Linked DNA regions of Ovis aries. The protein of the gene in region 1 purifies or fractionates together with the protein of each later gene. This does not show direct contact. Links are inferred from orthologs where the notes say so. Each region holds a gene or a part of one and is shown on either strand. Other genes may lie near its edges. The genes, in order: RRP1B, LYAR and SRSF1.

Evidence for each region.
Region 2: the proteins of RRP1B (region 1) and LYAR purify together in Homo sapiens (co-immunoprecipitation; 3 studies listed by IntAct, with this or other methods). This does not show direct contact. The link is inferred for Ovis aries from reciprocal best matches to the Homo sapiens genes RRP1B and LYAR.
Region 3: the proteins of RRP1B (region 1) and SRSF1 purify together in Homo sapiens (co-immunoprecipitation; 3 studies listed by BioGRID and IntAct, with this or other methods). This does not show direct contact. The link is inferred for Ovis aries from reciprocal best matches to the Homo sapiens genes RRP1B and SRSF1.

Annotation. Positions count from the first base shown.
Region 1 is NC_056054.1:264,427,126-264,430,771, forward strand, and holds part of RRP1B (ribosomal RNA processing protein 1 homolog B), read left to right. Parts: intron 1-439; coding exon 440-459; intron 460-1,040; coding exon 1,041-1,172; intron 1,173-1,681; coding exon 1,682-2,346; intron 2,347-3,646. UniProt on the Homo sapiens protein: Positively regulates DNA damage-induced apoptosis by acting as a transcriptional coactivator of proapoptotic target genes of the transcriptional activator E2F1.
Region 2 is NC_056059.1:105,504,279-105,507,924, reverse strand, and holds part of LYAR (cell growth-regulating nucleolar protein), read right to left. Parts: intron 3,200-3,646; coding exon 3,092-3,199; intron 2,969-3,091; coding exon 2,885-2,968; intron 1-2,884. UniProt on the Homo sapiens protein: Plays a role in the maintenance of the appropriate processing of 47S/45S pre-rRNA to 32S/30S pre-rRNAs and their subsequent processing to produce 18S and 28S rRNAs. Also acts at the level of transcription regulation.
Region 3 is NC_056064.1:8,495,102-8,499,293, reverse strand, and holds the start of SRSF1 (serine/arginine-rich splicing factor 1), read left to right. Parts: upstream 1-1,248; 5' UTR 1,249-1,357; coding exon 1,358-1,551; intron 1,552-1,964; coding exon 1,965-2,149; intron 2,150-2,514; coding exon 2,515-2,687; intron 2,688-2,890; coding exon 2,891-3,085; 3' UTR 3,086-4,192. UniProt on the Homo sapiens protein: Plays a role in preventing exon skipping, ensuring the accuracy of splicing and regulating alternative splicing.

The DNA.
Region 1 (3,646 bases):
GAAGGAAAGTGACTTCACAGACTCCAGGTGTCCCTTACACGTTAGTTTCTTACATAGTGAGTGGAAAATGACAAGGTCCTAACCTATAGCACAGAGGACTGTGTTCAATATCCTACAATACACCATAATGGAGGAGAATTTGAAAAATAACTTACATGTGTATAATTGAGTCACTGTGCCATACAAAAGAAATTAGCATTGTAAATCATCTATACTGTAATAAAAAATATGTTGAAAATTGGAAAAGAAAAAACATACATTGATAATAGAGCATTGAATTGTACACTTTAAATGGGTGAATTGTTTGGTATGTGGATTATATATCTCAGTAAAGATTTTAAGGAAAAGCATATCTTACATCGTAAAAGGTTAGTGCATGTGTTTATGGGGGGCAGGAAGATGCAGTTTCTTTAGGAAACTTTGTTGTTTTCTTTTTCAGATTCCAAGATCTCTCTGAAGGTGAGGAAAATCAGAAGATTGTAATTGGTGATGTTCTCAATGAACATGGGCACCATGGAGCTGGGCGCCATTCTTCTTGTTGGGGTGGGGCTGGTGGGGATTAACAGGTGGATTCCAGCTTGAGCCTTCCTGAAGAAAAAAGGTCAATGTCAGAGTCTCTCTCATTGGGATCAGTCGGCCTCCATCCCTTCCCTCCAGTACCCCCGGGGTCAGGGAGGGGAACGGCTCCTTGGAAGCTGGGTTACATTTGAGCCAGGTGGGTGTGTCTGCTGCCCCCGCCTCTTGTGCATTTGGGGTGCTTCAAATGGGGGTCCCACAGGCCTTGCCGAGATGTGGAGGTGGCACATCCGAACCCTGTGGGGTGAGCTCTAGAGGCTGTCACCCTGGGTCTACAGTCCCTGACCTCACCTCAGCTAAGAAACCTGCAGAGCATAGTCTATAATTCCGGCAGCAGCAACTTTTCAGGTTGGGGGTGGAGAAGCAGTAAGGGACTCGGCAGGAATCAGAGTTGAAATTACCCACATGGGGGCAGGGCCATGTTTGTCTCAGAAAGCTGACCAGACGTTGTCTTTGGTGTCCAGCAGGCAGTCTCTCTCACCTCAGTTTTGCTGAGGATACCACTGCTGACGAAGATGACCAGACCCGCAGTCAAGGAACACATAGGAAGAAAGGGAATAAACTTCTGGAGAAGACAGACATGGCAGAAGGGAAAGGTGAGCTGCAGAGCTCTCGGTCAGCACGCGGTGGGCCAGTATGGCCCAGGGAGCACCTTTCATATCCACACAGGCCACTGCAGAGTGAGAGCCATCACTCTGAAGGGCCGAGATGTATAGAGAGTGTCTCTCCAGCTGTTGTGCTGTTTGGGGACCGTGCTCCAGCCTTGCTGAAGTGGAAGCATAGCGGACTCCCCATGCAGGAAGAGGGTGGGGATGTGGACGTCCTAGGTGGACGTTGCCCTTCGGGGCACTTGTTTTATTACCAGATATGGGCCTGAAAATAAGTAGGAATCTGAATCCTATTTCAGATCTATTTACATCAAAATAGGCCTCAGGAAGTTTTCCGGGTATGGTTGAGGAGGGGAAGAGATGGGGAAGTGAGAAAGCTTGTGGGGTTCAAGGACACAGAGAAGGGCCTGGCGGGGACTGGCGACATGCTGTGGGTACCCCCAACCCTGGCAGGTCCCCTGGGCACTGGGCACTTGTTGACTGACTTGTGTCTCTAGGAACCACGTTTTCCCCTGCCAAGGAAGAGAGCAAAGGTGGCATTCCAAAGAAAAAGAGGAGGAAGAAGAAGAAGAAGCAACTCCAGGCTGAATGCACAGGGCCCAGTGGGGAAGCCACGCGCCCAGTACAGAATGGGAGCCAGGAGCCAGAGGCCAGTCCCAAAAGAGCCCCAGAGGAGAGTGGGGCTGAGCTGGGAATTTTGGCCATGCCCGGCACCCTGGAGCAGAGCAGCTCGGAGCTGCCCTCCTCACACAACAAAAGGAAACGGCCCAGGAAGAGGAGCCCAAGGATCCAGGTGGAGGGCCTGGAGTCAACAGCATCATCTCTGGAGGGGGTGGCCCCTCAGGCGGCCCCAGCCAGTGGTGCCCCTGTCCTGAAGAAGAGGCGGGAGCTGGGAGCCCTGCTGGTCAACGGCAGTGGCCTGCCTGTGCTGGCCTGGCCCCCACCCCAGAGGGAAGGGCCCCCTGCCAACCCAGCAGACAGAAGGGACTGCCCCACCTCCCTGCCCCCAGGTGGGAAACTGAAGAAAAAGAGTGGAGGGCCCAGCGGCCTTGACCTTTATGACTCGTGCGCTCAGAAAGCTGCCATTTTGAAAAAGAGGAAGAAAATGAAGGAGATGTCAAACTCAGTGGAGCCCAGAGGAATGAAGCTCATCCCGGCCCTGGTAAGGCAGAGGGGGGCTCCCAGGCAGGAGTGTCAGGGCCCCGCCCCCTCGGCCCCAGGGCAGGGGGCAGTCAGACCCTGGACCAGGAGCCGTCATGGCTCCTAACACCTACCAAGGAGTAAATAGTGACCTGTCTCAGAGGCGTCCAGTGCCTCCCCTCCCACCCCCATCCCCAGTGATCAGAGGTGTGACAGGGCCAGCATCAGGCTGGGGGATCGCCCCAGTGGCCCAGTGGGCACTCCACCTCCATGGAGTGAACAGGCAGGGTGCCCCCATCACATGCGGAGCTCATGTTCCTCCAGCTCCTGGCCAGTCCTGGGCTCTACTGGCAGGAGAAGCCCCAGACTCTTAGCCCTGTTCTTCTTCACTGGAAGCTTTGCTCCTCTTGGCTCTCTGGAGCAGATAGAAGGGCTCAGACTCTGGGTGTGCAGCTCTCGCCCTCCTCCTCATGCATGCGTGTGGCTGCGCCCATGCAGGGCAGCCGTCATCTCCCTGGGCTGCTTCCACTCCTTGCAGAGGCAGTCCTCACAGCCTGCGCGGCTGGATGCATGACCCCCTGGGCCTCCCAGCGCCAGCTCCTGCCCTGCCTAGCATGCGTGCCCACGGCTCCTGCTTTTTGCAGCACTTCTGCAGAGCCCGCTCCTGTTCCAGAGCCTCAGGGGTCAGCGAAACCCAAGGTGGCCCCTGTCACACAATGGTTTTGGCAAGTCTCTGGTGTTCCTGACTGAGAAGTTTGTCACCTTCCTCTGGAGGGAACCTGGAGCTGCAGACCTGGGCCAGAATGCTGCCCCTTGTGGAGGAAGACCTCCCCAGGACGCGGGCACAACTTGTGCCAGGCCTCACAGCGCAGGACCTCCGAGGGGTCAGTGGGAGGTCTGAGGGCAAAAACCCATTCAGCTGGGATCCAGGAAGTCCACTCCCACCTCAGGCCTTCCCTGACACTGGAGCACCTGTGTCACGTCCCCGGGGCTCTCCAGCCTCTGCCCACCACCCAGTGGTCATTGCTGCTCATCTTCCTTAACTGAGAACATCTGAGAAGTTTTCTTTTTTCCCTGGCAGCCCCTCTTGGAGATGGTTGGAGGGTCTGGGGAGGTCTTCCTCCACAAGGGGCAGCATTCTGGCCCAGGTCTGCAGCTCCAGGTTCCCTCCAGAGGAAGGTGACAAACTTCTCAGTCAGGAACACCAGAGACTTGCCAAAACCATTGTGTGACAGGGGCCACCTTGGGTTTCACTGACCCCTGAGGCTCTGGAACAGGAGTGGGCTCTGCTGTGGGCGGGTATCACTGTAAAGTCCCAGGGA
Region 2 (3,646 bases), on another chromosome or scaffold:
TCCTATTTACTGCACCACCTGACTCAAAAGGAGTGACTTCAGCACAGCCAGCCCCACTGCCTGCTACTCTCACTATAAATATGGTGTGGCCTCCATGCCTGCCCCTTCCCAAGAGAGTACATGGAGCAATTCACTGAACTGCTCCGTGAGCCCTGATGCGTCTGCAGCTCCGGGGCCGCTGCAGGTGTCCTGCAAACCCCGGGACTCACGGTCAAGCTCCGTCTCTTAAGTAACTGGCCAGGTGGCAGTCCTCCTCCTTTCAGAGGCGAGGTCACAAAGGGACCAAATGGAGGAGGACTGGCTTTCACTCCTGTACAAGCACTCTGCTGAGTTCACGAAGCCTGTAAGACCCAGTCGTAGGCTCAAAGAGTAGTATTTAGGGTATTGAGACTAAACTAAACAACTGGAGTTTTTTCAGGAAGAATTCAGAGATCAAATCATCCAGGCACATGTGGGGGAGGCAGGCGATGAGTTCAGAAAGGACTCAGGAGGAAGGGGGACCAGGACACCTCGCCCTGTCCTACAAGTTCCATCCTATGGTACAGTGTGTTGTGAGCATCAACCCACCAGGGTCTGAGCACCGCAGCCCCAGGCCTGCCCCCTTCAGCTCAGTCTCCGGCTGCTGCCCCGCCTCCACTTCCTAACCAAGCCCGCCCCCTGCATGCACCCCAGCTTCTGGGAGAGAGGGGAGACAGGAGGGAAGGAAGGAAGGAGGGAGGGAGACACACAGTCACCCACCCAGCAGCCCCTCAATCAATGAGTGAACAAACTCACTCTCCATCAGCTTCCTACTTCATTCCAGACTCTCCTCCAATGTGGTCTCCTCAGACACGATTTCACTGCCTCTGTCTTGACAGCGAGACGCTCCCCTCCTTCCCTCTCTGCCCTGTCCTCTGCCTCCCATTTCTTCCTGGCCTGTGTCACCACCCGACATCCCAGCATCAGCTCTTAGAGCAGGTGTTGGTCTCTCCTGCCAGAATACAGCTCTGGAGGGAGGGACCCAGGTCCAAGGAAGGCTGGGTCCACAGGGACCAGGAGCGCTGTGCACTGGGGCAGTGAGTGTTTCACCTGAGAAGGATACAAAGCCTCCAGCCCAGCACCCCCAGAGCCTTGGCACCATCTCCACCTCCGACTCCGGGCACATGCCAGGACGTTCACTGGCCAAAAGCAACGACAAGCTACATTTTGCAGAGCTTAGAGTTTACCACGAGCTGCTTACTGGTTATCTTATTTAATTCTTATATATTCACAGCTTCAAAAATGAAATTGGAAAACTCTATTTTTTGGACTCTGGAGTTAAGCTAAATAACCACAAACTTTTATGACTGTTAATTAAAATAATGGAAGTGATCATGAAAGTCACTCAGTCGTGTCTGACCCTTTGCAACCCCATGGACTATACAGTCTGTAGAATTCTCCAGGCCTTTCCCTTCTCCAGGGGATCTTCCCAACCCAGGGATCGAAACCAGGTCTCCTGCATTGCAGACGGATTCTTTACCAGCTGAGCCACAAGGGAAGCCCCAAATAATGGAAATAACCTTTAAAAAAACAGGTGCCACACAAGTGCCAATTGAATGATTGGTTATAAGGTTTCAAGGGCCAGTTTGTGTGTTTAGAGACAAATGCTAGATGCATGCCAAGAGAAAGTTTCATTTTTTATCCCAATTTGTGGTCAAAACCATTCTCTCTGCATAAAGCACATCAACTGCTGACAACTGTGAGGAGAATAAAAGACCAGTTGGACCCCACTGTTGTTCTGAAACACTAATAATGTCTTCAGATGGGATATAAGCCCCAAGTAGGGGCAAAGTGCAACTGAGTTAATGAGAAAAAATGTTGAACAACGGAAGCAAGGACATGCCTACAAGATGTCACACTACAACTTTCTGCAGGTGTATTTCACATCTGGGGCCTCGTGGATCAAAACATCTTCTCGGAAGGTGGTCTACTGATGTGCTCCAAGCAATCCCTCTGGCCACCGGAAGGAAGAAGACCAGCACCGACCAAGCGCCCACGCCCTGCTGGGCATGAGCTGGGAGGCTTGTACTCCCTCATCTGCTTTAATACTAAGACACGTCCCCTCACCCCACACCTACCAGAATACCTGGTCACCCTCTCTCATCCTCACCCTGTTTATTTTTCCCTCCTGCCACTATCACCCTCCTGAGATGTTTTTCTGTTTTTTGTTCAGGGCCTGACACGTATTGGGCACAGTAAGTACTGGGTCTTTTGTGTTGTTGCTTAGTCGCTAAGTCACGTCCAACTCTTTTGTGACGCCATGGACTGTGTAGCCCACCAGGCTCCTCTGTCCATGGGATTTCCCAGGCAATAATACTGGCGTGGATTGCCATGCCCTCCTCCAGGGGATCTTCCCGACCCAGGGATCAAACACAGGTCTCCCACACCGCAGGCAGATTCTTTCCACTGAGCCACCTGGGAAGCCCCTACTTAGTCTAACGATCCACCTCTATTTAAGACAAGGAAACAAAGGCTCAGAGAGGTTAAATAAAATGTCCGAGAGCAAACGCCTGGTGAACAGCAAAGCAAGGATTCAAATTGGGTCTGTCAGAAACCCAAAGCATCTGTTCTTTTCCAATCATCCCACTACTTGGTGTCTAAGCCGATCAAGTCTAGTCAGCTGGTATTGCTATCAAACATCGGGATTGTTTGATACTGTTGTCACACATCGGGATTAAACACCTTTCTCTGCACAATAAGGAAATCTTCTCTGCAGTGCAGTCAGTGTATTCCTTCCCATTAATGAAGGCACAAAGAGGCTTTCTGAAAAAGAAGGCTGTCTTGACCTCCAAAAATAAGACATTCCCATTTCATTTTTACTAACCACTTTTGCCACACTGCAAGTCTAGAGTGAGATCGGACTTACATTGCTGGAAGCTTCGGAAAAGATATTCCACACCTGCTCCAGGATAGATTCATTATGAACTTTTAAACTGTTCTTCATCCAATTCTGAATGGGTGAAAAAGAAAAAAGAAAAAAACCCCACTTATCCCATATGCTGACAGGTACACAGAAGCTGTCACTGAAGTGCCCGTATCCCCTCCATTCAGGGAAGTCCAGTCAAATACATACCTGAAATTTTGCCCTTTTCCTGGGAACGTTGTCAAAACCACTAATTTGCTCTAACAGTTCCCTCACTTTGGGGCTGACATTGGGTCTTTTTATTAATTCATGAATTTTCTACAGAGAAGGAAGATAAAAGCAATAAACAATCGACAGATGAGTTTCATGAAAGCCAAACTACTGGGTTCACACCTCAAGTCCAGATTCTGGGTTAATGCCTATGTTTACAGATTCAACAGAGTGCTCAAAGTCCAGAGCAATTTATTGTTGCCGTTCAGTTGCTAAGTCATGTCTGACTTTTTGCAACCCCATGGACTACAGCCCACCAGACTTTCCTCTCCACTATCTCCCCATGACTAAGGCAAGAAATAAAAGGCATCCACACTGGAAAGAAAGAAGTAAAATGATCTCTGTTCCCAGATAACATGGTCATCTTACAGGTCAAAAAACCAAAAGATTGCACAGAAAGAATCTTTAGGACTAATTAAGTTCAGCAGTTGCAGTATACAAAAATCAACACTCAGAAATCAAGCTGCATTTCCCTACACTAACAAAGAACAAATT
Region 3 (4,192 bases), on another chromosome or scaffold:
AGGAGAGGGACTATTACAAATACATACATAAACTGAAGAAAATCATCCTTACCCTTAGGGTGCAGAGCTAGCTGTTTTAGCATATTTATGACTGCAGGTTTGTTGTTTTAATTTGAATTCATCACTAATAATGTAAAGTTCCAGCATTTCATATAAAAAACCAGATTTCAAATAGATATCTCTATAGGAAAAAATGTAGAAGTTCTAATCTCCCTGGACCTGACTAGCAGATCAGTCTTGAGCAGCAACTGTGGTCTCCAGCGGCCACAGCAGTTCTCACAAGTTCATTGGGCTCATTTATATTACTTGAGAGGCCTGCTAATGAGTTCAAAACAAGGAACTTCAGGATTCTGCATACACACACGCAGGCGCGTGTGTTTTTTCTCGTTCTTTGAAAAAGGATGGAGAAGTAACAGGCACCATTCATTCTGCAGCCTTCAATGCACCTTTCCGCTGCGTTGGGCCTAGTAATAGGCGATGAAAAAAGAGAGAGATCTGGGTCCCGGTTGGTACCACCAACGATTGGTCAGAGCAGGAATCGCCGCCACTAACAAACACAAGCAGTGTTGAATGTAGTTATTAAATATATACAAAGCTTGGTGCTGAACCGAAGGTAGAACGGTACTTGATGTAGAATCTAAGGAATCTAAGCTCGGCTCCCCTATATTACACAGTCGTCTAGGCAGCGCACAGGTTCACAGGAGACGAGGCGGAAACACAGTGATGGCTTGCCTCTGCACAGAATCACAGACAACGCCGACTCCCGGACTGGGCGCAGTCTCCTAAGACGCGCCCGTTTCCGGAGCAACCGCCCAGTCCCTCCCCCATTGACTCCGCCCCCGGGGGCGTCTTTCCCGCCCAAGGCCGTTAACCCCGCAGAGCATTGTGGGATAAAGCTATAGGCTAGGTTTCACTAAATCCTTCCAAAGCGCCTTTGCTTTAAGAGACTTATTCCTGGGGAAACTGATTATTCTTTAGGACTCGACAAGATTAATAACCCTCTTTTACAAGGGCTCTGCCCTAAATCTTTACCACAGGGCCGGTCACTTCCTTTGCAAAGCTCTCGGCACCACGGGAACGCGGGAACTTTTTTCCCTTCGCGCGGAGGGTGACGTCGCGCGTGCGCCAGCGTCCCTTTCGCTGCACACCCGTTACGCTCTTGCGCGTGCGCAGTGAGATCGAATAGCTGCTTCCTCCCGCTTCTCTTCTTCCCTCCCCCCCATATCCGTGCGCCGAGCTGATAAAGGCGCCATTTTGGAGGGGCCGCGGGAGACGTGGTGTCGCGGCGGGCTCGCTCTGCCGTTCGCTAGGCTTGGTGGGAAGGCCTGTTCTCGAGTCCGCGCTTTTCGTCGCCGCCATGTCGGGAGGTGGTGTGATTCGTGGCCCGGCAGGGAACAACGACTGCCGCATCTACGTAGGGAACTTACCTCCAGACATCCGAACCAAGGACATTGAGGACGTGTTCTACAAATACGGTGCTATCCGCGACATCGACCTGAAGAATCGCCGCGGAGGACCGCCCTTCGCCTTCGTTGAGTTCGAGGACCCGCGGTGAGGCGGCCAGGGACTTGCGGCCTTGAGGATATAGGTTGGAGTAGTTGGGGAGTGCTCCAAGGCCTTAGAGAGAATGGGGACGTGGGCTCTGAGGTTGGGAGCAAGACGAGTCGGCCGCGCACGAGTGAAGTGAGGAGCCGAGTCGGTGAGGCTTCCCTGGTGACTGGGTCCCCCGGGCGTCTCCGGAGCCGGCTCGCGGGCTCGGAGCGGGAAACTGAGGCGCTGAGGGCTGCTGTAGTGGTCGGGAGCCTGGCGTGCTTCTGGGTGGGGGAGGGGCCGTCCCTATTATGCGGCGCATGTGGGCTCTTCCACCCCGGGTGCGCATGTGCGGGGCGCTGCTGGCTCCCCGACGGAGGTGGCCACCCCTCCCGGCCCTTTTTCTTACCCTTCGGCTTTCTGTAATCACGCAGGGATGCGGAAGACGCGGTGTACGGTCGCGACGGCTATGATTACGATGGATATCGTCTGCGGGTGGAGTTTCCTCGAAGTGGCCGTGGTACAGGCCGAGGCGGCGGCGGGGGTGGAGGTGGCGGGGCTCCCCGGGGCCGCTATGGCCCCCCATCCAGGCGTTCTGAAAACAGAGTGGTTGTCTCTGGTAAGTTGACCGTTCCGCGCGGGTCGATGTCACTTTTGGACAGATCCTACACTTTAAAGTTTTCCTTGCATGCGTAGTTTGACAAATGCTAGCTTTCATGGTAGGTCTTTAAATTATTTCAGTCGCATGGATGAATTTAGTAACCAGGAATTACTGTATTTGAGATTTAACGAATTAGATTGCAGTGTCTAGAATATGAAGATCATTACTTTGTAAATAATTTGGGGCTTTTAATTCTAGAATTTTGAATCATTAACCTAGGATGTTAAAACTAATCATTAATTTTAAAGTAGTCTTGGTTCTAATGTAAATTTTAACTTTAATGTGAAATACTAGGATAATTGTTGAAAAAAACTCTTTTTCAGGACTGCCTCCAAGTGGAAGCTGGCAGGATTTAAAGGATCACATGCGTGAAGCAGGTGATGTATGTTATGCTGATGTTTACCGAGATGGCACTGGTGTCGTGGAGTTTGTACGGAAAGAAGATATGACCTATGCAGTTCGAAAACTGGATAACACTAAGTTTAGATCTCATGAGGTAGGTTATACACTTATTCTTTTTATTGGCCAGAATTGGATACAGTGGTCTTAACTGTGGAATTTGAAGGTAAGATTCAGGCAAGGGTGTCCAAGTAAACCCAGTAAAGTGCCTCTGGTTTAAATTACGTTGTATTCATTCAGCATGCCTGAAGACAGGTGAAAACTTAGATCTTTCAATCGAAAGTTCTGTCTATTCAATAGGGAGAAACTGCCTACATCCGGGTTAAAGTTGATGGGCCCAGAAGTCCAAGTTATGGAAGATCTCGATCTCGAAGCCGTAGTCGTAGCAGAAGCCGTAGCAGAAGCAACAGCAGGAGTCGAAGTTATTCCCCAAGGAGAAGCAGAGGATCACCACGCTATTCTCCCCGTCATAGCAGATCTCGCTCTCGTACATAAGATGATTGGTGACACTTTTTTGTAGAACCCATGTTGTATACAGTTTTCCTTTATTCAGTACAATCTTTTCATTTTTTAATTCAAACTGTTTTGTTCAGAATGGGCTAAAGTGTTGAATTGCATTCTTGTGTAATACCCCTTGCTCCTAACATCTACATTCCCCTCATGTCGATAAATTGTATTTTAAGTGATGTCATAGCCAGGATTGTTTAAATTTAGTTAACTCTCCATGCTCTTCAGACTGTGATATTGTGTAAATGTCTATTCTGCTCTGGTTTGTGTGAACTGGGATGTTGGGGGTGTTTGTGGTTATCTTACCTGGGGAAGTTCTTATGTTTATCTTGCTTTTCATGTGTCTTTCTGTAGACATATCTGAAGAGATGGATTAAGAATGCTTTGGATTAAGGATTGTGGAGCACATTTCAATCATTTTAGGATTGTCAAAAGGAGGATTGAGGAGGATCAGATCAATAATGGAGGCAATGGTATGACTCCAAGTGCTATTGTCACAGATGAAATTGGCAGTATTGACCTTATACTAAAGGCAAGGGTTTAAATTGATTATGTATACATCTACCATAAAACACTTGTAAGCATCTTAATGCAGTTACCTTTAGCTACAATTGCTTTGCTCTTTAAACCTTGGCAATTGTGGCAAAATTACATTGCCCATTTTGTAACTATTTTGCTCCCTTCCCTTTTTTATTTTAATAGGGACTAATGTGGGAAGAACTGGCTAATTTGTCATAATGCTTAGTTACAACTGTTAATGTGTGACCTGCTGTTGGTGTACATGTGGGTACAGGGTGTCTTTAATTCCAACCAGATAGAGTATAATATCAATACTGCTAAATCTGCATGTCCTCTGTGTGACTGATATAGCGTTGCTACTTCATTTTTTAAAGACAAAATGAAAGCAAAATATAGAATTCCAACATATTGGTGTAGATAATCTAGTTGGGAATAATTTTAAGTCTCACCTTCCCCTTTAAACTAGTATTCATAATTGACTCATGTTTAAAATACTTTTAATTTACAAATTAAATTACAAATGGGAGCATTAGATTTAGTTTAGACTTAGGGGGGTAGCAGTACCAGTAAACTTTT